Caenorhabditis elegans: one gene and its partners. The protein of the gene in region 1 interacts with the protein of each later gene in a pairwise test. Each region holds a gene or a part of one and is shown in the gene's direction. Other genes may lie near its edges.

Region 1 (8,024 bases):
TTGTAGCTGGAAATTTCAAAATTTTTAATTTAAAAATTCAAAATTTTGAAATAACCTACATTTTCGCATTATAAATTATCGATGGCAAGTTGATATCAGCAATTGTAAGCTGATCTCCAACACAATATTTCCCAGAATGCTTCTTCAAAAGTTCTTCGAGAGCTAAGAATCCCTTGTTCACAAAGTGATTGCACCACTGAAATACATTTTGAACTATCGGGAAACGCCTCTTGGAACCTATTGCGGTTTGATCTACAAAAAATGCGGAAATTTTTTTCACCGATAAAATGTGACGTCAGCAGCACGTTCTAGAAGTCTGCGTCTCTTCTCCCGCATTTTTTGTAGATCTAGGTAGATCAACCCGACATGGGACACTCTGACACCACGTGAGAACCCACAAAGTCACCGTATCCCGGCTCCTTTTCATTGAGCATTTTGTGGATATTGATTGCTTGAAGTGGCTGAATACTTGCGACTATCTGAAAAGAGCTCGCTTAGAGTTGTTAAAGAATGTTAAAAGCTCACATGAAGTGCGATAGCTCTTGAATACGATCTCTTATCCAATTCTTTTGGAAGGAACGGAGGATCCGGATAGGCTTCATCCAAATATTCGATTATTGCCAAGCTTTCTGTCAGTGATAAGCCATTTATCACTAAAGTTGGAACTTTTTTCGCTGGGTTGTGCTTGACGAACTCTGCATTGTTCTGAAATACAGCTATATTTCTATGGAAGTGGGAGTAGGGCAGGGGTGGATGGCAAATTGCCGGTTTGCCGGAAATTTTCAATTCCGGCAATTTACCGATTTACCGTTTGCCGAATTTTACCGATTAAAATTGAAATTCTGAAATTTCCAGAAAAAAATGTGCAAAACCACAAGTTGCCGAAAGTTTTCGGCAAATTGTGTTTTTCCGGCAAATCAGCGATTTGCCGTTCTGCCGAATTTTGCCAGAAATTTTCAATTCCGGCAATTTTCCAATTTACCGGAAATTTTCAATTCTAGCAATTTGCTGGAAATTTCAATTCAGGCAATATGCCGAATTTGCCGAAAATTTTCAATTCCGGCAATTTTCCAATTTGCCCGAAAATTTTGATTTTCATTAAATTTTCGATTTGCCGGAAATTGTAATTTTGGGCAAATTGCCGATTTACCGTTGCCAAAAGTTTTCGACAAATTGTGGTTTTTTCCGGCAAATCGGCAATTTGCCGCTAGGCCGAATTTTGCCGGAAATTTAAATTTCGGCACTTTGCCGATTTGCCGAAAATTTTCAATCCCGGCAATTTGCCGCTCTGGCGAATTTTGCCGGAAATTTTCAATTCCGGCAATTTTCCAATTTGCCGGAAATTTTCTAACCTTGGATTCTTCAGAAAATAAGTCGATTGGCCGGTATTCGTAGTCGATATTTTTCAGAGCAAGTGCTATAAATCAGTATTTTATAGAATTTCCAAGCTAAAATTACCGATGCGAACTCTCCAGGCACACGACGAACGCCAATATGAATATAAAATCGGTTTTGCCATGGAGTTAGAAGCTTCTAAAGAAGAAAATTGAAATATTTAAGCAATAAATGACATTTTGAGAAGAAATTAAATATGAACACGTGGGAAAAATCTTCAAAAACCCTAATTTTTCAGTTAAAAACTACTTTCTCCGAATAAAACCTCCATTTTCCTCAATTTTCAGCACTTTTTTATGTCAATTCCCACTTAAAATTCCCCTTTAACGGTCATTTTTCCTAAACTGTGCAGTTTCGCGTCGCCGTGTTTGCACACATTCCGTTTGATGCGCAGGTTTCCACGTTGTCCTCTTTTCTCCATTTTCTGTCTCTTTTAACGTGGATTTACCGATTTTTATCTCTGAAATTCTTAATTTTTATGGTATTTTTCGTAGTTTCTTTATCAATTTAATCGAAATTCCAAGTTTTTTCATTGATTTTTTGCATTTTTGTCTGTTTTTTTTAAACATTCTTATATATCCACGTGTCATTTCCATAATTTCAGAACCTTCATTCACGCCGAGGAGCAGTTTTTGACTGGTTACCGACTATAAATCGGATATCATGTCGCTCCTTATCAAATTTGAATCAAAATCCGCTAGGGTTAAAGGTAAATATTTTGGTTTTTGGCATTATTTTTCAATAATTTCCCAATTTTCCAGGAATTTCGTTCCACCCAACTCGGCCATGGGTGCTCACATCGCTGCACAGTGGAGTCATTCAACTCTGGGACTACCGAATGTGCGTTCTTCTCGAGAAGTTCGACGAGCACGATGGTCCAGTGAGAGGAATTTGCTTCCATCATGATCAGCCGATCTTTGTGTCTGGAGGAGATGATTATAAGATTAAAGTGTGGAATTACAAGCAGAAACGCTGTATTTTCACACTTCTCGGACATTTGGATTATATTCGTACCACTTTCTTCCATCATAAGTATCCATGGATCATTTCTGCGTCCGACGATCAAACGGTTCGGATTTGGAATTGGCAGAGCCGAAACTCGATCGCCATCCTCACCGGACACAATCACTACGTCATGTGTGCTCAATTCCACCCAACCGAAGATCTTGTGGCTTCTGCCTCCTTGGATCAGACCGTCCGTGTTTGGGATATTTCTGGACTTCGGAAGAAGCAAATGCCTGGTGGAGGTGCTCCAAGCCGGCCAACCGGAGGGCAACAAGCTGAGCTATTCGGGCAACCTGATGCAGTTGTGAAGCATGTGCTAGAGGGACACGATCGTGGAGTCAACTGGGTTGCATTCCATCATACCAATCCAATTCTAGTCTCGGGATCCGATGATCGTCAAGTCAAGATTTGGCGTTACAATGAGACGAAAGCCTGGGAGCTCGACTCGTGCCGTGGACACTACAATAACGTCTCATCTGTGATCTTCCATCCAAATGCTGACTTGATTCTTTCCAACTCGGAGGATAAGTCGATTCGTGTGTGGGATATGCAGAAGCGTACCAGTCTTCACGTTTTCCGACATGAAAATGAGCGTTTCTGGGTTTTGGCCGCCCATCCAAGCTTGAACATGTTCGCCGCAGGACATGACAATGGAATGGTCGTTTTTAAAATTCAAAGAGAACGCCCGGCTTATTGTGTCAGTGATAATTTGGTTTTCTATGTGAAGGGACAACAAATTCGCAAGCTCGATTTGACAACCAAGTGAGTAGTTTGATGCCAAGAAAAGTGTGCCGCAAAATGCATTTTTGCACAGAATTAGCGTTTTTTTTTTGCGAAAAAAAGCGTGCGAGAGTTGCGAAAATGCATTTTCCGGCGCACTGAATCATGTTTTTGTGGAGTCTCAGTAGTTTTTAAATGAAAAACTTTAAATGTGCCCCATTAAGCGAATTTCGTATTTAGAGCCTCCAAAAAATCGGAAAAAAGGCGTAATTTCAATAGCTAAATTCTCCAACTTCCACTGAAAATAGCAGAGTTTTTTTTGAGATTTATCAAATTTTTAGCTTTTCAAAAAATGTTTTCTGCTTTTTACGAACAAATCTTTTGTTAAACAATGAAAATCGAATTTAAAATGACTAAAATTAACTTTTTCCGTCCACTGGTTGTGAAATGGGTTGAAATTGAAGAAATCAACGGGATTTTTCTGATTTTCTGAATATTTTTCTATTAGAAATCGGTTTTAAACCATTTTTTTTTACTAAAACCGATTTTTAATAGGAGAATATTTAGAAAATGAGAAAAATCCCGTTGATTTCTTCAATTTCAACCCATTTCACAACCAGTGGACGAAAAAAGTTAATTTTAGTCATTTTAAATTCGATTTTCACTGTTTAACAGAAGGTTTGTTCGTAAAATGCAGGAAAAAAATTTTTAAAGCTAAAAATTTGATAAATCTAAAAAATCTGTTATTTTCAGTACGAAGTTGGAGATCTTAGCTAAATTTAGAGCTTTTCTCCGGAAATTTTGAGGACTCTCACTACAAAATTCGTTATTTTTTGTACATTCAGAGGGGATGTACAAGCAAAAACCCCTCTAAAATCAAATTTTCAGCAAGGATGTTGCTCTGTGCAAGCTCCGTTACCCACAACCATTCATGCAACCATACTACTCTCTTTCCTTCAATCCTGCCGAGGGAACCTTCCTTCTCACAAGCCGTACTCACAATAAGGATCTATGCGCCTTTGAGCTGTACAAAGTTGCCAGTAACTCTGATGGAACCACTGAAGCTGCGTGCGTCAAGAGCACCGGAATCAATGCACTTTGGGTTGCTCGTAATCGTTTTGCAGTTCTTGACAAGGCTCAGAATGTGTCGTTGCGTGATTTGACGAACAAGGAACTTCGCAAACTCGAGAATATCAACACGGCTGTCGACGATATTTTCTATGCCGGAACTGGAATGCTCCTTTTGAGAAATGATGATGGGCTTCAACTGTTTGATGTTCAGCAAAAGATTGTGACTGCTTCAGTGAAAGTGTCGAAAGTTCGTTATGTGATTTGGAGCAAGTCTATGGAATTCGCAGCTCTTCTTTCAAAGCACACGCTGACCTTGGTCAACCGTAAATTGGAGATTCTGTGTACCCAACAGGAGTCGACTCGTGTGAAGAGTGGAGCTTGGGATGATGACTCGGTATTCCTCTACACCACTAGCAATCACATCAAATATGCAATCAATTCTGGAGATTGTGGAATCGTTCGTACTCTGGATCTTCCTCTGTACATTCTGGCTATTCGAGGAAACGTGCTCTACTGCTTGAATCGTGACGCTACACCAGTTGAAGTTCCAATTGATAATTCTGATTACAAGTTTAAGCTTGCTTTGATTAACAAACGAATCGATGAAGTTGTCAACATGGTTCGATCCGCAAATCTCGTCGGTCAATCCATCATTGGATATCTCGAGAAAAAGGGTTACCCAGAGATTGCTCTTCACTTTGTCAAGGATGAGAAGACTCGCTTCGGGTTGGCAATTGAATGTGGAAACCTGGAAATCGCGTTGGAAGCCGCCAAGAAGCTCGACGAGCCAGCAGTCTGGGAGGCTCTCGGAGAGACTGCTCTTCTTCAAGGCAATCATCAAATTGTTGAGATGAGCTATCAACGAACGAAAAACTTTGAGAAGCTCTCGTTTTTGTATTTTGTTACTGGAAATACGGATAAGCTTGTCAAGATGATGAAGATTGCACAGGCTAGAAATGATGCTCACGGACATTTCCAGACAGCTCTCTACACTGGTGATGTTGAGGAGAGAGTTAAAGGTAAAAATGTGCAGCTGGATTTCAGAAGGGGGCAAAAGTCAAAGTTTTATTGATTTTTAGCTCCTCTTTGCGTATTTTTTTCGTGAATTTCTGCAAATTCTAGACGATTTTGAAATTATTGAACCTAAAAATGGTCCAAATCTACCGAATATCGTCATGAGATTTCTCAAAAAAAAATTTGGAAATCTACCAATTTTCAGCTAAAATCTCATATTTTGCCAACTTTTCAGTTTCGCAGCTGACGGAACTTGATTTTTATTCAATTATCGCTATTTAATACGTATTTTGGTCGTTTTAACGAATAAAAGTGTGATAGACGACCAAAATATGTATTAAAAAGTAATAATCAATGACACACTAAAGTTGGCAAAATTTGAGATTTTAGCTGAAAATAGGTTTTTTTCCAAATCTCAAAACCGCCATAACTTTTTTTGTGAGTTTTCAGAAACTTTTCAGGATTTTTCATGACGAAATTCGTTACTTTTTGGGTCATTTTCAACAAAATAAAGTATAAAGTTAATTTTTCAGTGCTCCGAAACTGTGGACAAACTTCTCTGGCCTACCTCGCCGCAGCCACTCATGGATATTCTGCTGAAGCTGAGGAGTTGAAGGCTGAACTCGAGAGTCGTCAGCAACCAATCCCACCAGTTGATCCAAATGCTCGCCTCCTTGTCCCACCACCACCAGTTGCTCGTTTAGAAGAGAATTGGCCACTTCTTGCCTCGGCTCGAGGAACTTTCGATGCACAGCTTCTTGGATTAGGAGGACAATCTGCTCCAACTAATGTTGGCGGTGTGAAGCCTGCTGCTGCTGCCTTTGCTGTTATGGATGATGATGTTAGTTTATTGATTTCTGAGCTATCTGAGCTATAAAATATTAATTTTTGCAGGATGGTGATGTTGGAAATGAAGCATGGGGAGATGATGAGTATCTTGTCGGAGAAGATGGTGAACTTGATGTTGATGAAGGAGAAGGACCAGTTGATGGAGATGAGGAAGGTGGATGGGATGTGGATGATGATCTGGCTCTTCCTGATGTTACCGATGATCAAGGTGGAGATGATGATGAGGAAGTGGTTCCTAACCCAGCTCCAGCTGTCTCATCGGAATGGCCGAATGTTTCTCGTCTTGCTGCTGATCATGTTGCAGCTGGTTCATTCGGAACTGCCATCAAGCTTCTTCATGATACAATTGGAGTCGTTGAAGCAGCACCATTCAAGGATGTATTCGTGAAGGCTTATGCAGCTTCTAGACTCTCACATCGTGGATGGGGAGGACTCGGACCAGCTGGACCAGTGTCCATTCATCCGGTTCGTAATTTCCAGGAGGATAAGAATCATCTTCCAGTCGCTGCGTTCAAACTTTCTCAACTTGCAAAGAAACTGCAAAAGGCTTATCAAATGACGACGAATGGAAAGTTTGGAGATGCTGTCGAGAAACTGCGGGAGATTCTTCTATCTGTTCCACTGATCGTTGTGTCTTCGAAACAAGAAGTCGCCGAAGCGGAGCAGCTCATCACAATCACACGGGAATATCTTGCAGCACTTCTCCTTGAAACTTATCGAAAAGATTTGCCAAAAACGAATTTGGAGGATGCGAAACGCAACGCCGAACTAGCTGCCTACTTTACACACTTTGAGCTTCAACCAATGCATCGTATCCTGACACTGAGATCTGCTATCAATACTTTCTTCAAAATGAAGCAAATGAAGACTTGTGCATCACTTTGCAAACGTCTATTGGAGCTCGGTACGTGCTTGCGTTGTTGATTTTTTTAAATTTTATTTCTAATTCTTAATTTTTTTTTCCAGCTCCAAAACCAGAAGTTGCTGCTCAAATCCGAAAAGTGCTGACTGCCGCCGAGAAGGATAACACTGACGCGCATCAGTTGACCTATGATGAGCATAATCCATTCGTCGTGTGCTCTCGTCAATTTGTGCCTCTTTACCGTGGACGTCCACTCTGTAAATGCCCGTATTGTGGAGCATCGTACTCTGAAGGGCTCGAGGGAGAAGTGTGCAACGTGTGCCAGGTTGCAGAAGTTGGAAAGAATGTTCTTGGGCTCCGAATCTCAACTCTGAAGAGCTAAAAGTTGTGAAATATGATAATTTTTTCGTTTTTTGTGTGATATTAATTATTGTAATTTATTTGCCTTGTTCTTCCACAATTCCCATTGCTTTTGGTCCCTTCATATTATTTTCCCGTTGGGCGGCGGTTCATGTTTTCTATTTAAATTATGTGTTTTTAAAAATTATTTAAACCCCACAGAAAGATTATGATTGCATGCTGGTCTATTTTATTTGAATAAATCATGATTTTTTTACTTTTTTTCATTTATCTTTGGGGTAAGAAAATGTTCTCTAAATCAGTAATTTACATGGAGAAATTTGCTCGAAAAAATTCAAAAAAAATACAGTAAGAAAATTGTCGTAAAGTCTAGGGTTTTGGTATTGCGGACTACGACAAAATGCACACAAACCATTTTGGCACCGGAAAAAGGCAAAAGCCAGGATTTTATCGCGTTTTGGCTCATTTTTCTTGCAAATTTCCATGGAATTCAGTTAACATATACCTAATTATTCAGTTATTTCGAATTAATCAATAATTTTCAGTGAATTTCGCAATTTCTAAGTGGTCCAATGATGTCTGTCCACATATTTCCTTGAAAACTGATTGTTTTATCGGAATTTATTGATTTAAAATAATATATATAATAAAATCTGAATTTTAGAATCATTTTTGACGTGGAAAAGACCCGAAAAATCCAAAAATCACGAATAAACTGAACAATTAAGGTATTAATTTTTGATCCCCC
Region 2 (6,659 bases), on another chromosome or scaffold:
TTGCAGCTCTATAACTTCACGTGTGGAGGGAGTTATTACATCAATGTGTACAAGTTTTGTTCTCCATAAAATACTGACCAGATTAACGTTTTGAATTTTCAAAATATCCCCATCCGCATTGCTGCAGGCCTTCAGAACTTTTGAGATCACGATCTTTATGGCACGCAAGTCGGCATTCTGCGGGATTTCTACATTTTTCTCGAGGAATCCATCAAGTATCTTACAAGTTTTTATAGTTCAAAGAATGCTCTTGGTCTGGAGATTCTTTAAAAACAAAAATCCAAAAAATTTCTATCGTGGTATTTCTGTACGGACTGTGGCAGTAGTTTAGGTCTTGAATGACACAGTCGCCAGAAAGATGGATGTGAGCGGCGGCACCAGTATTCATTTTAGTACTTTTTGGCACGGTTTGACCTGAATTTTCAGAATTTTTAGAAAAAAATTAGCTCTGCTGATTTTGTGGGTCGTTACGCCTTGTGAAACCAAAAAAACTGAGTAAATTTCGGAAAGTTTAATTCATGAAATATTCAAAGGTTCTTGCTAGGCGCCAGTGTCGACACAGAAAATTTTTATATGCTACAAAAACAATCAAAAACGCTTCTTCATTTCTTTAACTTTCAATTTAACATAAAAATCATACATCTGAAAATTATTGGCGTGCGTGGGAGGTGCGTTTGTGTGGGAAGTGCCGCGTGCCAAAATGCCGTTTTAAAAAGGGTTCGCCAAATTGCCGAGGTGATTAAAATCGCACCTTATTGGGAAACATTACAAATTTTGGGTCAAATTGAAGGAAATTTATTCAGCTATCAGTATTCGATAGAAAAATGTACGTATGACGTGGCAGTCGCGCGAAAATCTCATGTAAAAGAGCGCTTCATGTGTTACCATACTTTTGGCCCACCCTGTATGAACATGGGTTCGTACCATGGAACCACAACGAAAATGACCAAAAGTTCCATATTTTTGAAGTCCCACAGAAAGCTATTTATTTTCTACCAGTTGTTGCATTACGTTTTGATTATTTGTATTTGAGCATTGTGTTGTCAATATTATAAGAATCATACCATTTCCACACACACACACACACACATTTTACATAAATAATTAGCTAAATTTATGTAAATTCTCTTGATAATTTACAAAAAGAACGAGCAAAATCGGTTATTCTTATTATTCCTGACTCGTATCGAGTACTCTTTCTACTATAATATTGCTCTTGGTTTGGACATTGTGGAGAACACAACAATAAGCAAGAAGATTGCCATAATCAGGTAAAACTAAGGCTGCAAAGGGGGCCTCTTCGATTTTAAGATATAACTGAGTTTTTTGAAAAATCTAAAACGTTTAAGGTTGTCCAGAGCAAAATTTGCATAAACATTCAACAACTTCACTATCAGTTTCAAAAAAAGTTGATTTTTCTCGTAATTTTTTTTCATTCATTTTACAACATTTCCTGAATGCAATTTTATTTATAAAATCTGCCACGAAGCAGCCACCGTTCGTAAGAGACACCTCACAAATGTGAGAAACGCAGACAAAAAAGTCAAAGGCACGCCGACTTTCCCGCTGTGGTCTCGATACGATCGGGGCTTTCTGAGTTGGCGATGGATGCGCCTCTACCTTTTGAGTGTTCTATCGTTTCGCCAACGTATCTTTTGATGAATTTTAAGATTTTCTTCTAAAAAAGATTAATTTCGGTTGATTTAAACATCTGAATTCTAAAAATCCAGAATATTATCGATTTTTGAATGTTCTTTCGGTTTTATTTTATTTCTATAAGCTGACTATTTGCAAATCTTCCTCTTCGTGCTCAGCTTAATTTTACATTGAGTTTATTTATTTTAGCTTTTTTTCAGAACAAGATGCCTCTCCGACTTGATGTAAAAAGAAAGCTTCTGGCTCGTTCGGACCGCGTGAAATGTGTCGACTTGCATCCAGTCGAAACATGGCTTCTAGCTGCTCTTTACAATGGAAATGTTCACATCTGGAATTACGAAACACAAACGCTTGTAAAGTCATTTGAAGTAAGCTTTTTTTCAAATTTATGTGCAAACTTCATGAAATTACGAAATAACTGAATCTAAATTTTGCAGGTGTGTGACGTACCAGTTCGTGCAGCGAAGTTCGTTCCAAGAAAGAGCTGGGTTGTCACGGGATCTGACGATATGCATATTAGAGTTTTCAACTACAACACATTGGAACGAGTTCATCAATTCGAAGCACATTCTGATTATCTCCGATCGCTCGTTGTTCATCCAACACTTCCCTACGTCATTTCATCATCCGACGACATGCTTGTTAAAATGTGGGATTGGGATAACAAATGGGCAATGAAACAGTCATTCGAAGGGCATACTCATTATGTCATGCAGATTGCCATCAATCCAAAAGATAATAACACTTTTGCAACTGCTTCTCTTGACAAAACTGTCAAAGTATGGCAGTTCGGATCGAATGTTCCGAATTTCACTTTGGAAGGACACGAGAAAGGAGTCAACTGTGTCGATTACTATCATGGTGGAGAGAAACCATACATTATTTCTGGAGCTGATGACCATCTGGTCAAGATTTGGGATTACCAAGTAAGTTTTTTTTCTCTTTGCATTCATCCAAAATGATATTTTCAGAATAAAACGTGTGTGCAAACGCTCGATGGACATGCGCAAAATGTGTCTTCAGTTTGTTTCCACCCAGAACTGCCATTGATAATCACAGGATCCGAAGACTCCACTGTTAGATTGTGGCATGCAAACACCTACAGGCAAGAACATTAAAGTACGATTTCCACAACAACAATTTAAAATTTTTAGACTGGAAACAACCTTGAATTATGGGTTGGAACGTGTTTGGTGCATCCAAGCTCAAAAAGGAGCCAACACTATTGCCATCGGATACGACGAAGGTTCCGTCACGTTGAAATTAGGCCGAGAAGAACCAGCAGTCAGTATGGATTCGTCTGGAAAGATTTTGTGGGCAAAGCACTCCGAAATTCAGCAAGCTAACCTGAAGACAATCTCAACTGAAGAGTCGGAAGCCATTCAAGGTTTGGAAAACTTTCATTCGACTTTTGTATAGTTCGGCACATGTTTTCTGAAAGTATTAAAAAAAGAGAAATTGTGTTCATTTATTATCACTCTAAGACAGTTCATTTACAGATGGAGAACGTCTGCCGCTTTCTGTAAAAGATCTCGGATCTTCTGAAATCTATCCACAAACCCTTGCTCATTCATCTAATGGACGTTTTGTTGTCGCTTGTGGTGACGGAGAATACATTGTTTATACTGCAATGGCTCTCAGAAACAAGGATTTCGGACAAGGACTCGAGTTTGTCTGGGCTGTTGATCCAAATATGTTTGCTGTCCGTGAATCTGCCACCAATGTGAAGATAAAGAAGAACTTCAAGGATCACAAGTCAATTCGTTCAGATATGGTACTTGAGGGAATTTCTGGTGGACCACTTCTTGCCTTGAGGTTTTTGAACTCTTATCAATTGACTTTTATTTAATTTTTTGTTTCAGATCGAACAACTCTTTGTGCTTCTTTGATTGGGAATCAGCCGTTCTTGTTCGTCGTATCGAAATTACTTCCAAGAGCATCTATTGGAGTGACAACGGAGAGATGGTCGCAATTTGTGGAGATGATTCATTCTACGTTCTCAAGTACAGTGCTGAAGCAGTTGCCAATGCAACAGAAGTGACCGAAGACGGTATTGAAGACGCGTTTGAGGTTATTGGAGAACAGGCAGAAGCTGTGAAGACGGGATTCTGGATCGGGGACTGCTTTATTTTCACCACTGCACTCAATAGAATCAACTATTATGTCGGTGGAGAAATTGTCACTATTGCTCATGTTGATAGACCACTTTATTTGGTGAGATTTTAAAACATGCGTTGTTCTTATCATTTTTAAAACTTAAATATTTTAGTTGGGATACATGGCTAAGGAATCTCGAGTCTATGCCGTCGATAAGGATCTCAACGTGATCTCATACAAACTTCTTCTATCTGTTCTTGAATATCAAACTGCTGTAATGCGCCGTGACTTCGATACTGCTGACAAGGTACTTACTACAATTCCAAAAGAGCAGAGAACTCGTGTTGCTCATTTCCTCGAAAAGCAAGGATTCAAGAAGCAGGCTCTTGCGGTCTCTCAAGACCCTGATCACAAGTAAGACAATTTTCAGCTTTTCAGCAATAATTTTGGAACGTTTTCAGATTCGATCTCTCGGTAGCTCTTGGAGATTTGAAGACTGCCTACGATTTGGCACTGCAAAGCGATTCAGAAGAGAAATGGAAGGCTCTCAGCAACGCCGCCACTCTTAAGTCGGAACTTCTTCTTGCTGGTGAATGTCTTGGAAGAGCTCGCGATTTCGGAGGTCTAATGCTTCTTGCAACGTGTGCCGGATCAGCTCCTCTTCTTCAGAAACTTGCGGATGACTCTGCTGCTGCCGAAAGCCACAATATCAGCTTCCTCAGTAGTTTGCTTCTTGGAGATATTGATGCTTGTCTAGACAAACTTATTTCGACTGGTCGCCTCCCAGAAGCAGCGTTCCTTGCTCGAACACATGCGCCGTCTCGAGTTTCATCTATTCTTGAATTGTGGAAAGCCAAGGCTTCGGGACACAGCGAAAAGAGTAGCAGAAAGATTGGAGAATCTCTTGCCGATCCAGTGAAGTATGAAAACTTGTTCCCTGGATTTACCCAATCACTGAAAGCAGAATCTTTCGTTCGTGAGATCTCCAAGATTCCAGTCCCAGCATCCGTTCGAGTGCCATCAGCTGCTACCCGGAATATTCAAGAGGAATTGGATGAAGCTGTTGCTTCGGGAGCAGTTTCTTTTACTGATGATGGCCAAGCAGTACTTAAGAATGCCCCAAGACAAACCGAGACACAATTGAAAGCTCCACCTCCTCCATCAGTTGCACGTCAACCCTCGCCTGTACGCCAGCCATCCCCTATTCGTGAGCCATCACCGATCCGCGAACCTGAACCTGAAGAAGAGGAAGAACAGGAAGAATTCGATGATGATCAGCAAGAGGTGCATGTTCCAGCTGTACGTTTTGAACAGTTTTTTATTCATATGGAATTTGACTATTCGTTGCTAGAATCACCAATTTATTTTCAGAATCAAGAAAGTGCCGATGCTCATGGAACATCTAAAACTCCTGATGTTGTTCTTGAGACAAGCCGGCCTGATATTGTCCCACCACGGGGGTCCGCCGCTCCAGATTTGGTTTCCGCGTCTTCACAACAATCTGCTCAAGATGTAAGTATTTATTTATAAATGTTTTGAAAATTATATAAACTGCGAAAATTCAATCAATTAATCCAATTACAGTTCCAAGATGATACGCAATGGTCAGATGAAGATTTTGGAGATGCTGAAAATGGAGACCTGAATATGGACGATCTAAATTTAGACGAGGAAGATTGACTGGTAGTCGATCGATCTGCCCAACAAGATCAGAAAGACTGAGTATCAGTGTTATTTTTTTGTGTATGTAATTTAAGCCCCCCCCCCCCCCCCTCCCGTCCTATCAATGTCCCCATTCCATCCGTAATTTCATGCACAATTTTTTGACGAATGATTCAGAGCAGATCGATCGATAGATAATTATTTTATTTTTCATGTTTCACCCCAAAAAGAGGTTTTTTTCTAACCCATCTGGTGTCGGTCACTCTCTAACATTCTTTGGGAAATTGTTAATTAGTATTATGGGAATGTGATAATGTTTTTCTTATCAAATAATTATGTAATTTATAGTGTTTTTGGCGCACTCGTCTTTTTTTGTGATTTTTATTTCTACTGGTCACTCCTGTCGTAAGCTCCCTTTGCCAACTATCCACCCAATTCATCCCTCCCCGTTTTCATATTTCTGCCTTCAAAATCACATAACTTATTGAATTTTTATGTTTATCGCCCTTTCTGATTTATAAGTAAACACTAAGTTATTTCCAGCTTTTTTGTGCGGTGTTTTTTGTATTCTAGGGGTTTTCTTCGAAGTTTTGTTCTATGGCTTTTTCCACTTCTACTATCATCCTCCCCAAAACTTTCGTGTTAACGAAAAAATGATGTAATGAGAGTTTTATTGATTGAAATGATTTTTTTTTCTTTTAACCGTGTTTGAATAAACGGAACAGAAAGTGTATGTGTGGCTGATCAGGAACAATTTGTAGATATTTATGTCTACACAAGTGATAATCAAAAGGCACTTCAAAAAAGGAGCAAAATGATAAGAGGCGTCGAGCCGATTTCAATACGGAAAAAGCGTATTCGGCGACAATCCGATACGATTTTTGGCACGGAATCCCATTTGACGAGGTTGAGCCGAAACTGAACGAGCTTCTCTTTCCATTGGTGGCTCTTCAGTATGTCTTGAAATTCGTTCGGAAGATTCGCTTCGCCGCTTGTTTAATGTTTCCGACTCGACGCCACCCCGTCAACTGTCTCGTGGTTGGCTTTGTTCTTTCTGAAATGATCATGATACTATAACAATATGATATAACATGTCGAAATTTTGTGAGATTTCTTTAAATAACCTAGTTTTTCAGTTCTCATAAATGTTTATTTTTGAATCTACACATTTCACATTTCCTTGATTTTTTACGATCCATCACTCATACGAAAACATGTGATTAATTTTGTCCCGCTTTCTCAAG
Region 3 (7,756 bases), about 12 Mb from region 1:
CTGAGCAGGTCGCCGCGCTCGCAGCCTTACATGGAATGAATATTCGGAATCTTTTGGTTGGAAATTGGGAAGAAGAATGATGTTAAATTTGTTTTTTGCTATTTTTTTGTTAAATTATATTGAAAAATTGTTTGTTTTTGCTATAATTTGCATTTAAAATCGGTTTTATTCCATTAATTATCGAATCCCCACTGCGCGCGCGGGGATGGCAAAACGCCGTGCGGCAGTTGCAAATGGGCGGAGTTTGGAGAATTTAAAAAATATTCGAATTTATTTCGCAATTTTTAGAGATTTTCAGGCTTTTTTCAGAGTTTTCATGCGTAATTTTCACTTTAAAATGTTATTTAAGTGTGTAGGATTATAGAAATGTAATTTAATTCCGCAAATTTTGTTGAAAAACTTGGATTTTTGCAATTTTTGCAGATTTTTACATGATTTTCTTCTAATTCTCCTGTTTCAAGTCAATTTTCTCTCTAATTTTCCAAATTTTCAGGTAACAAAATGACTGACTACGGAGATGCTGATAAATACGTCAACGACGAATCGATCGAGATGGCTTGGGCGATCAAAGCCGGCGAACGGTCCGAAGTTCACATGAATCTGATAATGCGGTGTGACACTCGGGTTCTTCGGCTCAACAAGCATCAGGATGCGATTCTCGCCGCATTTCGAAGCTCATTCCCCGATTTGAATGTGGAGGAGGTGACGACGAGTTTGCTGAAAGACGGCGGAGCCAAGGAGACATGGCGCGAGTTTTGTGAGCAATTCAAGGATATCGTCGACGATTATTCAATGGGAACACTGATGAGAATTCATGCTTCGAAGGCTTACAGTCCGGAAAATACTGTGGTTGTTCCAAGAGTTAGTGGGACCCAAATTGGAAATTTTTGTGATTTTCAGCATGATTTGTAGCTAGAAATTGCAGTTTTTGCGTTTTTAGCCCAGTTTTTAGCTAGAAAACTCAGATTTTGTGATTTTCGGCATGATTTGTTGCTGGAAATTGCAGTTTTTAGCTTAAATTTTTGGGAAAACTTCAATTTCCAGCCAAAAACCCCTCATCCCTCATTTTCCCATACAAAATCGATCGATAATTAATTACAGATCATCTACCTGGCAATCGAGATGGCACGCAACGTGGAGGGTGTCAACGAGAAGAATAAGGAGGCATACACGGCTCACCGCAATTCGCTCGCCTCCTTGTAATAATTTCTCTCGTTTTTTTTTTTGAATTTTTGTTGATTTTTCCCCGTTTTCTCGTTTTCCACCCTGTCGTTTGTCTTGTAGTTTGCATATAAACCGATTTCTTCGTTTTTAAAAATGATTTATTTCCAATTTCTCGAGTTTTCCAGCTCTTTTTACTTATATTTTTGTTTATTTTTTTTCCAAAAATTGATTTTCAGATATTTTTCTCTAAGAAATGTCGATTTTGATGAATTTTTCTGTGCTAAAATTGACTTTTCAAAATTTTCTCATAGACACGTGGGATAAATGCCCTAAAACTCAATTTTAGCCTGAATAATTCGTGATTTTTGATAATTTTTCATCGGAAATCGAATGTTGGATGCTAAAAACGTTTCTTTGGCAATTTTCGAATCCCCACCGTTTTTTCTCCATTAAAATCTGGATAAGCATCTCAAAATTCATGAAAAATCACTTTTTCTGTTAAAAAGTGTTTTCTGTGATTTCTGAGCGAAATTGTCAAAAAAAAAAAGTGATTTTCGCTTCGAAAATTCGAATTCCCGAAGGAAAAACCATCAAAAACCTCTGTTTTTGAATAGAAAATGTCTAAAAATCAATAATTTCCCAATTTCTTTTCTTTCTTCTCCATAAAAATTTAATTTTCCAGAAATGTCGCTTTTCGGTACAAGTACCACGGCTCCAGCTGCTTCAACAACACCTCTTTTTGGCTCAACGGCTGCTGCTGCTCCAAAGCCTGGAGGCCTCTTCGGTGCGCCTGCTGCTGCCATGTCATCAGGGCTCTTTGGAGCATCTCAGACAGCTCCTGCACCAGCTTCTGCAGGACTTTTCGGCTCAACAACTGCTCCTACACCTGCTTCAACGTCTTCAGTTCCACTATTCGGTTCGACAACAACCACCGCATCACCATCTGGAGGACTTTTCGGAGCCAAGACAGCCACCACAGCAGCTCCCGCGCCGACTGGTGGGCTCTTTGGAGCATCAACGGCTGCTCCGGCGACTGGAAGTCTGTTCGGAAGTACTGCCCCGGCTACTGGAGGTCTTTTTGGCGCGAAATCGACCACATCGGCGGCTCCGACGTTGGTTTTAGAGCTTTCGATGCATCTAAAATTGAATTTTCAGGCTTGGAGGTGGACTTTTTGGATCGAGCACGGCTCCGGCGGCGGCGGCAACGACATCATTTGGAGCTCCACCAGCGACTGCAGCTGCTCCATGTTAGTATAGATGCTGGAGCTTCTTTTTTCTCTGTTTTCAGCACAAAAATTCCATTTTTTGCGAATTTTCAGCTCTAAAATGCTTTTTTAAATAGAAAATTGCCACTTTCAACTCCTTATTTGGAAATCCTATTTTTCGCCGAATTTCGACAAAATTTTAGTTATCAAAACTAGCGTTTTTAATCTGAAAATCGGACATTTTCAGCTCAAAAGTGTGTTTTTAATCGAATATAGTACGATTTTTATGTTCAACAACGCTAATTTTATAGAAAATTGGAAAATTTTCTAACAATACATCAAAAATCCTTATTTTCCTCCTATTTTTCAGCCAAAAATGCGTGAAAAATAAGCAATATCCATTTAAAAGCTTTATTTTGTCGATTTTTCTTCAAAAATTGGCGTTTTCCGGCAATTTGGCTATTTGCCGGTTTACCGATTTGCCGGAAAAAAATAAAATTCTAAAATTTCCAACATTAATGTGCAAAACCGCAATTTGCAGGAAGTTTTCGGCAATTGCCGCTTTTCCGGAAGATTCGGCAATTTGTCGGTTTGCCCATTTGCCAGAAATTTTCAATTTCGGCAATTTGTCGGTTTGCCGGAAATTTTCAATTCCGGCAAATTCGGCAATTTGCCGGAATTTTTCAATTTCGTCAAATTTGCCGGCTTGCCGATTTGCCGGAATTTTTCAATACCGGCAACTTGTCAATTTGTCGGTTTTCCCATTTTCCAGAAATTTTCAATTCCGGCAATTTGCCAATTTGCCGGAAAAAATCGTTTGCCGCCTTGAGATTGCGCAGCCTGAAAATCATTTTGTTTTTCAGTGGGTCTCGGCGGAATCCAGCAACAAAACAGCAGTGGTGGTGGGCTTCCAAATGCTTCAGGAACTGCCACGTCATCACTCACAGGCACCGGAGACTCAAAAGATGCCTCGAAAGACGGTGAATGGACACAAGCGGCCACTCTAATCAGAGATTTACTCCCATTGATCGAGGATAAATTCAAGAAAAATCGAGAATTTATGGAAGAAACCGAGAATATGTCAATTGACAACGTGGCAATCGAAGAACAAATCGATAAGACACGTGGATGGATTGAGGAAGTTCGACGGGATGTTCTGACGGCTACACAATCATCAGAAAGGATTGCATATCTTGTATCAACTGATAAAACACTTTGTGATACGACGAAACGAGTTCAAGAGCATTCTGGATCTGCAAATCAGACTACTTATATGAATGCTATCAAAGAGTTCGTTTTTGAGCTATTTTAACGCTTGAACGTCTTGAAATGACTTGAAAATCTAGAAAATTGGACAAAATTTAACAAATCCGTCTTTTTCATGAAAAAAAAACCCCAAAACCACCCCTGGCAGTTCAAAATATCGAAAAAGAGCTGAAATTAGCTGAAAAATCCGATTTTATAAGCTTGTAGTGACTGAAAATTGATTTTTCGCCAAGTTTTGCATATTTTCGTCGTAATTCACATTAAAAAAACGTTAATTCTTGATACTTTACTTTTTTAGACCCAAAATGACTCAAAACTGCCGAAGAATTTCGTTATGAAAATGTCTCAAAAAAGTTATGACCGCTCAAAGTTTTGGAAAAATGGTCAATTGTTAGCTAAAATCTCAAAATTTGGCAAATTTTCTGTGTTGCAGCGATTGGAACTTAATTTTTATTCGATTATCATACTTTAATGCATGTTTTAGCAAGTTGTTACGTGTTATTTCGTTGATTGAGATACTTTATCATATTTGTGCCGGCATCGACCGAAAAAGCATCTCAATCAACGAAATAACACGTAATAAATTGCGAAAACTTCCATTAAAGGATACAAATCGAATGAAAATTAAGTCACAACCGCTTCAACACTGAAAATTTGCCAAAATTTGAGATTTTAGCTAAAAATTGACCATTTTTTTCCAAAATTTTAAGCCGCCGCATTTTTTTTGAGAAATTTTTGAGAATTACGACTAAAATATGCAAAAGGGGGGATAAAAACTAATTTTCAGCCACTACAAGCTTGTAAAATTGGATTTTTCAGCTTTTTTTGGACCTTTTTGAGTATATTTTCTTGAGAAGGATGGATTTGTTAAATTTGGCTCATTTTTCTAGATTTTCGAGCGTCTCATAACAAAATTCGGTAGTTTTAGGCCATTTTTGATCTAAAATAAGACAGTATCGGATTTCGGCACTCCACCAGGGCTGGGACCAAAAACAAAAAACCAAAAAATTGATGATTAAGTTTATTTTTAATGTGGTTATTCTAGTAATGTTGAAAAATGTATCAAAATACATTTTTGACGTCACAACTGTTAAAATACATGTTTTTATGTATTTTAATACAGAATATTCTCGAAGCGAGAGACATTTTTTTTTTTGGATTTTTTGGTTTTGTGGCCCCAAAAAATGGATTTTTCGTCAAAATACCAGAAAAATCCAGAAAAGTTCCAGCCGCCCTGCACCACTCCACCTGTTTTTTAATTCCAACTATTTTGCAGACACCTCGCCGAGCTGTGCAATTTCTATGGAAATGATATGGACGCACTTCAAGAGAGAGTGAATTTCCTGAGAAATCGATTCGAGAAGCTTCTAACCGGTGAAAAATCGATAACAATGGAGGAGCTGGATGCATATTTTTTGAGATGTGATGCAAATGTTTCGAATGCACATCATCATGTCACTGAGCTCGGAAAAGAAATTGAAGAAATTCGAGATTTTCTAATTGAACAAGGATATACTCAATTGAGAAAATGGTCGACTACAGCTGCTTCAGCAGCAGCACCAATAGCTTCGAATTCTGAAATGATTGTTAGAGAAGGAGCCGAGTTCTTCCCATCACAATCTAGTCTGGCAATCATTGGAAGCTCGTTGAGAGCACCGGCTGCTCCGGCTCCAGCTGTTGGAGGGCTTGGATTGGGCACTGGAACCAGTCTTTTTGGAAATACTGGTGTGTAGAATTGAAGGAAAAAAAAAATTGTTTTTTTTTGGCTTTCTTGAAATCTATAAATTCAAGAAAAAGTTTCTTGAGCATTTTTTAAATGCAAAATTTGATGAAAAATTGGTTTTTTTAACATTTTTTGACGAGAAATCAAATTTGTAACTTGCAGTTGTTACAACCAAGGGTGTCGGTTTTTCGATTTTCCCTGAAAAAATCGAAAAAAATTTTCGATTTTTGAAATAAGCTTACAAAACAGCATCTCTACAACAAATCTTTTTTTTTTATCAATTTTCTTTGAAAATTACAAGAACCCAAAAAAATGCGTCAAAACTGCTTTAAAATCGTAGAAATTGCAAAAATTCCAAAGAAACTTTCTTTTTGTTACAAATTCGAGTTTTTTTCACTAAAATTTTTTCTAGTTTTCTCTAAAAAACCGATTTTTTTGAAATTTCATCGGATAAGCATAGATGTCAGTTTTTTTTTCAAAATTTTTGTTGTTGTAACCAAGGGTGTCATTTTTCGATTTTTTCGATTTTTCGATTTTTCGATTTTCACTGAAAAAATCGAAAAAATCGAAAAATCACACCCTTGGTTACAACAACAAAAATTTTGAAAAAAAAACTGACATCTATGCTTATCCGATGAAATTTCAAAAAAATCGGTTTTTTAGAGAAAACTAGAAAAAATTTTAGTGAAAAAAACTCGAATTTGTAACAAAAAGAAAGTTTCTTTGGAATTTTTGCAATTTCTACGATTTTAAAGCAGTTTTGACGCATTTTTTTGGTTCTTGTAATTTTCAAAGAAAATTGACCAAAAAAAAAAAAAAAAAGATTTTTTCCAGTCTTCCGGCAAAAAAGGTTTTTCTTGCATTTTTGACGGAACAATTTTTTAAAAAAATTATTTTTTTTTTGTGAAAATGGTTTAAATTTTCACGAAAAATCCAAAAAAATAAAGCCTATTTTGTAGTTTTCAGAAAAAAGTATTTGTTTTCTGCAATTTCTGCAAAAAATTTTTTATTTTTTTAAAGAGTTTTTCGGTATTTTCTGAAGCGGTAAAATAATTTACGAAAAATCCAAAATTGATTATTCGATGTTTTCTAAATGAATTATAGTGGATTTTTTGTCGAAATTGCAAAAAAAAATCTCAATTTTTCCGACAAAAAATTCAACTAATGAAATGAAAACTCTAAGCGTTCAAAGTTAAAAAATTTTGTTTTTTTTTTCGTTAAGTTTCTCGCCAAAATTCAACAATTTTTCATCGAAATTGTGAATTACCAAAAAAAAACAGTTTTTTGTCAAAATTACAACAATAGTAGAAATTTTTTTAATTTTTCCGCGAAATTGCAAGAAGGAACAAAAAATATAGATTTTTCTCAAAATAATGAGAAAAATCGATATTTCCGAACCAAAAAAGGATTATCGTCAAAATTGGCAATAAAGTCCAAAAAATCTATGATTTTTAAAATCTAAACCTTCAATTTCTCTCAGGAACAACTTCTCTTTTCGGATCAACGGCCACAAAACCAGCTTTCTCTGGAGGATCTCTATTCGGTGCAACAACTTCTACTGCAACATCCTCAGCTGCTGCCACCACCACAACTCCGACTACATCACTCTTCGGATCAACCAAACCAGCCACCACAACTACACCATTTGCATCGACTGTTGCTAATAATTCCAGTGGTCTTTTGTTCAGTTCAAAGAAATAATTATTTATTTTTTTATTTCATGATGACTGGTTTTATTATTTAATTTGTGAAATATTTATTTTTTCTGATCTTTCTTTCGATTCCTCACGCTTTTCCTGTTCTTACCCTATTCTTACATTAAGCTTATTCGATTTTAATTTTACATTGTCTCTACACAGCAAATTTTCCCATGAAATCTGATTTTTTGTAAAATTTTTGAATTTTTCATCAAAAATTAAGGTACTATAAGGGTATTGAAGGATTACTGTACGGGTACTGTAGGGATACTGTAGAATTATTGTAGTTTGGGAAATTTGAATTTTTAGCTTTAGTAGAGGTATTTTGTTGGGAGTTGGTGGGGATGATGTTAAGGTACTGTAAGGGTACTGTGGGCTTACTTTAGTTGTTTTGTATGATTACTGCAGGCTAAAAATTGACCTTTTTCAGAATATAGTAGTTTTGAACATTTTCAGGAAAATTATTTTTTTGCCCAAAATAAAAAAAAAGGACAGTCATTAGAAAATTTGGGCAAAAATAAAAAGTTGTCTAAATTTGTTGAAAACGGGTAATTCATACATGCAAAATTCAGAAAATCTAGGTTTAGTCCGTCAAAAACTATTAAAAAGTGGCAAAAATGGCCAATTTATGGCAAAAATTCACAATTTTGAAACTTCACTAAAACGGGCAATTTTGTAGTTAGAGGACTCAAAATTGATTT
Region 4 (4,628 bases), on another chromosome or scaffold:
AAGACGACATGTTGAAGATAGATGAGCTGATCAATGAAATCAGCACTAATCAGCTGGCTATTCTCTATCTTATAGCTTGTTCTTTCTATGCGGCCTGCGTCTCTTCAAATCCCTGCGGGTCGAATGTCACAATTCACCATCTCCTTTTCTCTTTCTTGCTCCATGTGCTTCTTTCTGTCCCCAGACTGGACCTTCTTGTGCTCTCCCACCCACACCGCCATCTTCCTTTCTCTCTTTGCCCCATCCTCGACTATCTGTATCTTCTTCGTTCTCACTTTTTATACTCGAGACTCTGTGGAAAAAGACACAGAAGACACACCAATGGCGTCAAAAATCTTTTTTTTTAGTTTCCCTCTGCCGGACACGATGCACATAGTTTCGGTGCGATTCTCTCAAGAGGATCCCCCATAATTATTTGTCACTCTAAATCTCAAGCTCTCTCATCCAGTTTTCATTCCCAATCTATCCATCTCCCTGTCACACTGAACTAGTGGAATGAATGTCAATATCATCAATCTGGACCACTGTTTTCATCTGTCTCGTTCAATTTTTTATCCCCGGGAAAAGCTATTATTTAGTGCTTCATTCCGTGTGTCTTGAGCTCATGGATACTTTGAAGACCTCATCTTTTTTGATTGAACAAACGTGACAAGACAATTTTATGAATTCTTAGAGAGTGTGTGTAATTTTAATTGCTTGCAGCATGCTTGACAGCTGCACTTACTGTTTTCCTTGAAATACGCAAACTTTCACTGATATGCCTAATTTTAGAAGTGTATTTTTGAAATTCAAAGGAAAAACTTAAAATTTACTTTCAAAATCTTTAAAGTAGCTGTTTTTATCAATCTAGAAAATGTCACTACAGATAAAAATATTGTATTGATATGTGGAGTCTTTTAATTGTGCTTTTCGTGAGTCAATAATTAAGATTGCATTTTTAATTTGGCAACAATTTAGAAATTTGTTATCTGGCAAATATGTTCTATGATACCGTAACTTTCTCAGATAACTTTAAGATTATTTTTTTGTCCATAACCTCTGTTCTCAACTTTAAGACATACAGTACCCCTTATACACAGCTCCCTTTTTTTGTTATTTTGAATTTTCTCTTCAACTATTCCCATTTTTGTCGGTCTTTTTCCAATTTACCCCAAAAAGTCCATCTCATCAAAAGCGCTTCAAGTCTTTTAGTTCTTATCCCCCATTCCTCTTTAAGCTCTTGAAACACAAAAAACAATTGCAGAAGAAAAGAAAAAAAGCAATTAACTAAGAAAGTGCACTCATCACAACTCTTCTTCTCGGTTCTTTTTCTGTCTCAATTATTCACGCAACAACGCTTACATGAAGTAGCAGTTTTTCGAGTGATTCTGACATTTCTATTCATTTGTTTCAAGTTTATGATTATTTTTAGATCCAAGTTTTGAGCAGATCCCGGAATCCTAGCATTCATCATTCAAAATGAAAACCACGAGATTTCAAAACAACTTTTTTCATTTCACCTACTCATAAATTCCATTCCGATTCAGTTATTGCTTTATTTTCAGAAATTTGGATTCTCATTTTCTTATTTTCGCTTTCGTTGGAAATAATATTCCCAAAAAATTTTCAGCCTTCATCTAGTGGCTCGAGTATCAAATGTCCAAGTCGGTGTCGATACCACAGGCACTGTCCGACTTGAAAAGGACATCCTTGAGACGGTTGAGCAGTGCACGTGGTGTTGGAAATAAGAAGACCGTTGTGAGCACTTCGACGCCGTTGAGTGGTTTTGTAATTTTGGTTGAACGAGAAGAGAAGGTTGTTCGGCTGTACGGTAAGTAAAAGATAATTTTATTTGACTAATTTATAAAAACATTTTGAAGTATTTTTATTGAAATAATTTGCAATTTTGATGAATTTTTACTGAAATTTTGTCAACGAACATTTGTACTAATGCGATTCTCCAAATCGTTGATGGCATCGGCAAAGTGGGCGTTTTTTTAACCTATATCGCAATTTTTTTCGCTTTTTTCAAGGTGTCTGGAAATCAGATATAAAGTGCTTTACAAATTTTATGCAGACTTCTGAAAAAATAATCGATTTCCATTACAGGAACTGCTGCGGAAAGAGCAGGATTGAGCATTGGAGATGAAATCGTTGGGGTAAATGACATGAAAATAGAAGGAAAAAGTTATGAGGAAGTCACAACTTATATTCAAGAAGTTTGATAAAATTTATGATACTTTCTTGCAAAATTTCAAATTTCAGTGTATTCGTCGAAAAATCATTCAGCTGAAAGTTAGACGTCGTGCATTAGAAATTCCAGCAGAAAATGAAGCTTCTGTTTTTAACTGTGAGTAAAAAAAAGTTTATACTTTTTCCTTTTTAATACTTAGTTTTTGTTTAATTTCAGGCACAAATTCGAATCGTATGATAACGGATGCATATCTAGTTTCCGTGGATAAGGATCATATCAAGGAAGTTACTAAACGGCTGAAAAAGTGAGTAATCTTTTTTTGAGAGAGATTTTCTTCTCTGCGATACTATCTGTGAGAAGCGGAACGTGTAAAGAACGGAAAGAAGAGTTCTTAAGTGCTCTCTATTTATGGTATATGCATAAACAGTGAATATATGACAAATAGTGCAAATACCACTAAGATTTGGTTTTTGGCAAATCAATGTTCTTGAAAAGTTCTCATATTTATTTCATTTCACTTAAAAAATTCATCTCTCTTCATTTTCTTTAAAATCTTTGTTGTTCACTCGTCGACCTGCTTTCTAGAAATTAATTAATGGCCTCGAAACTTTCTGACGGGCAGGGAAACACAAAAACACTGAGATTATGAATGTGAGCTAATTTGGAATTCTCGTTCGTCCAGTCTTCACAACTATATAGGTCACATTCTAGTATTTCACACAGTTAGTCGGCACGTCTAGTATGTCACAAACCAATAATCTGTCAAGGTGAAGACAAAAAATGGAGAAAAAAAAAGAGAAAAAACGGAGAGTTCCGTCGTCAAATATATCAATAAATCTAGTGATTAATCAGTCAACCTGGCGATTCTTTTTTATGTCTCCCTGATATTCTATTTCACAGTCAGTGGCATTTTCAAGTAATAGAACCTCCCATTGCGCTTATCACACTCATTCTCTCTTTCTCATTCCTTTTTTCTTATTCTTTCATCAACTTTTTAAATGTTTCTGTCTCATTACACTATTTATCAAAAAACTATCATCACTCAAATTCTGTGTTCTCTTCGTTTCGAAGGTTGTCTGACTTGTGATAATTGCAGGTTGTTAGGGTTTCAGAACGTTACAGTTCTTTATTACAATTTACTACGCTTTTGAGATTTTTTGTATGTTCACAGTTAGCTAAACTCTTGCCTAGCTTTGGAATAACATGTTACTTTCAATTTATTGATTCTTGTATGTTTTGAAAAGCAATGACTTTTAGCACCCTTTTAGCACGACTGAAACTATCAGAAAAAGATTTTATACAGCTGCAGCTAAAATTTCAACACACTTTTTCAAAGGAAATGTTCTGCAAAACTTTAATTCAATCGTCAAAAATTGAATAAGGAGCAACGACTGCCGTTCTCTCAAATTACAAAGAGTCACAGAATTTTATTTTCGGGGGAATACCTTTCCAAAAATGGGTGAAAGGTCATAACGAATACATCAAACTCCAACACATTAGACACACATTGTTATTTATTGACATAAACCATTTATTGCTTTCCATTCGTCTCCTCACTTTTCCTTGTCGACAATTGTCAATTGCACCGTTCTTTCCAAACCCAAAAATTTAACAAATAATTATTGAATCCGTTTACACTTTCTTTTTTTCCATTCAACCCTAACCGTTCCTCTTTTTGTCATCATTGTGCAAATTTCATGCATCATAAATTTTTGAGGACGGTACGGTTTTTGTGTAGTTGTGGATCGGTTAACTGTTTGGTGATGGACACAGTTATCGCGACTTTAACAAAATTTTGCTTTTATATTTGTTATCAAGTGGCAAATTATTTTAAGTTATCATTATCAGTGGAGCAGAAGATATTTTATTACTTTTCTAATGTTTCGAAAATTTCAAGGAGTATAGGAATAATTTGCAATTTTTGGAAATATATTGGGTTCGAATTCTAGAAATTAGTCTGTATAATTTAAATATTGTTGATTCAAAAATTATTTTTTCAGCTACTATATGTAATATTCATTTTTAGAACCTTTCATTTTCTTAGTGTTTTGCTACTTTCCCGATATGTCTCATCATTGCTTAAAAATATTTATACATCATAGCCACCACCTTCTAAATCGTGGTTTTCATAAATATGTATTTGTATACATCTTTTCCCCAATAGGAAGGGATGCGCAAACGGGACCTCAAATGTAAAGCTGGTGATGAGCAAACATAAAAGTAGAAGAAGCGCGCACGAAAGATGATGAAGATGCAATACGGACTGTGTGTGAACAACTACAATACCGTCTATTGTTTCGACCCTCACTCACTCTCACCTTCCTCTTTTCCCTCAACCTGCACCACTTTGTATACAATTGTCATGAAGAGAGTCAGGCTGAATGGGGAATTATTCTAGGACTAGATTTGGTTGATGTTGGGTGACCAGCATGGTTTTCCACATTTTCATCTTCAT

The links.
Region 2: the proteins of copa-1 (region 1) and copb-2 interact in a two-hybrid assay, tested with the Caenorhabditis elegans proteins (one large-scale study listed by BioGRID).
Region 3: the proteins of copa-1 (region 1) and npp-4 interact in a two-hybrid assay, tested with the Caenorhabditis elegans proteins (one large-scale study listed by BioGRID).
Region 4: the proteins of copa-1 (region 1) and magu-2 interact in a two-hybrid assay, tested with the Caenorhabditis elegans proteins (one large-scale study listed by BioGRID).

The regions. Positions count from the first base shown.
Region 1 is NC_003279.8:2,894,836-2,902,859, reverse strand, and holds copa-1 (Coatomer subunit alpha), read left to right. Parts: upstream 1-1,999; 5' UTR 2,000-2,058; coding exon 2,059-2,104; intron 2,105-2,156; coding exon 2,157-3,162; intron 3,163-4,008; coding exon 4,009-5,210; intron 5,211-5,738; coding exon 5,739-6,046; intron 6,047-6,099; coding exon 6,100-6,958; intron 6,959-7,020; coding exon 7,021-7,298; 3' UTR 7,299-7,531; downstream 7,532-8,024. Other genes in the region: gst-43 (maleylacetoacetate isomerase), read right to left, coding at 1-6, 60-196, 399-479, 526-705, 1,353-1,417, 1,459-1,519.
Region 2 is NC_003282.8:9,457,875-9,464,533, forward strand, and holds copb-2 (putative coatomer subunit beta'), read left to right. Parts: upstream 1-1,856; 5' UTR 1,857-1,862; coding exon 1,863-2,024; intron 2,025-2,093; coding exon 2,094-2,582; intron 2,583-2,627; coding exon 2,628-2,761; intron 2,762-2,810; coding exon 2,811-3,043; intron 3,044-3,155; coding exon 3,156-3,471; intron 3,472-3,518; coding exon 3,519-3,870; intron 3,871-3,925; coding exon 3,926-4,167; intron 4,168-4,214; coding exon 4,215-5,052; intron 5,053-5,124; coding exon 5,125-5,265; intron 5,266-5,337; coding exon 5,338-5,433; 3' UTR 5,434-6,146; downstream 6,147-6,659. Other genes in the region: F38E11.6 (Adenylate kinase), read right to left, coding at 6,440-6,469. UniProt on the Caenorhabditis elegans protein: The coatomer is a cytosolic protein complex that binds to dilysine motifs and reversibly associates with Golgi non-clathrin-coated vesicles, which further mediate biosynthetic protein transport from the ER, via the Golgi up to the trans Golgi network.
Region 3 is NC_003279.8:14,700,613-14,708,368, reverse strand, and holds npp-4 (Nucleoporin p58/p45), read left to right. Parts: upstream 1-1,846; 5' UTR 1,847-1,848; coding exon 1,849-2,276; intron 2,277-2,319; coding exon 2,320-2,411; intron 2,412-3,232; coding exon 3,233-3,659; intron 3,660-4,911; coding exon 4,912-5,360; intron 5,361-6,838; coding exon 6,839-7,059; 3' UTR 7,060-7,247; downstream 7,248-7,756. Other genes in the region: dus-2 (DRBM domain-containing protein), read left to right, coding at 1-80; Y54E5A.5 (Polysaccharide biosynthesis domain-containing protein), read left to right, coding at 502-861, 1,102-1,203.
Region 4 is NC_003283.11:8,798,004-8,802,631, reverse strand, and holds the start of magu-2 (MAGUK p55 subfamily member 5), read left to right. Parts: upstream 1-1,603; 5' UTR 1,604-1,635; coding exon 1,636-1,810; intron 1,811-2,088; coding exon 2,089-2,198; intron 2,199-2,244; coding exon 2,245-2,329; intron 2,330-2,389; coding exon 2,390-2,477; intron 2,478-4,628.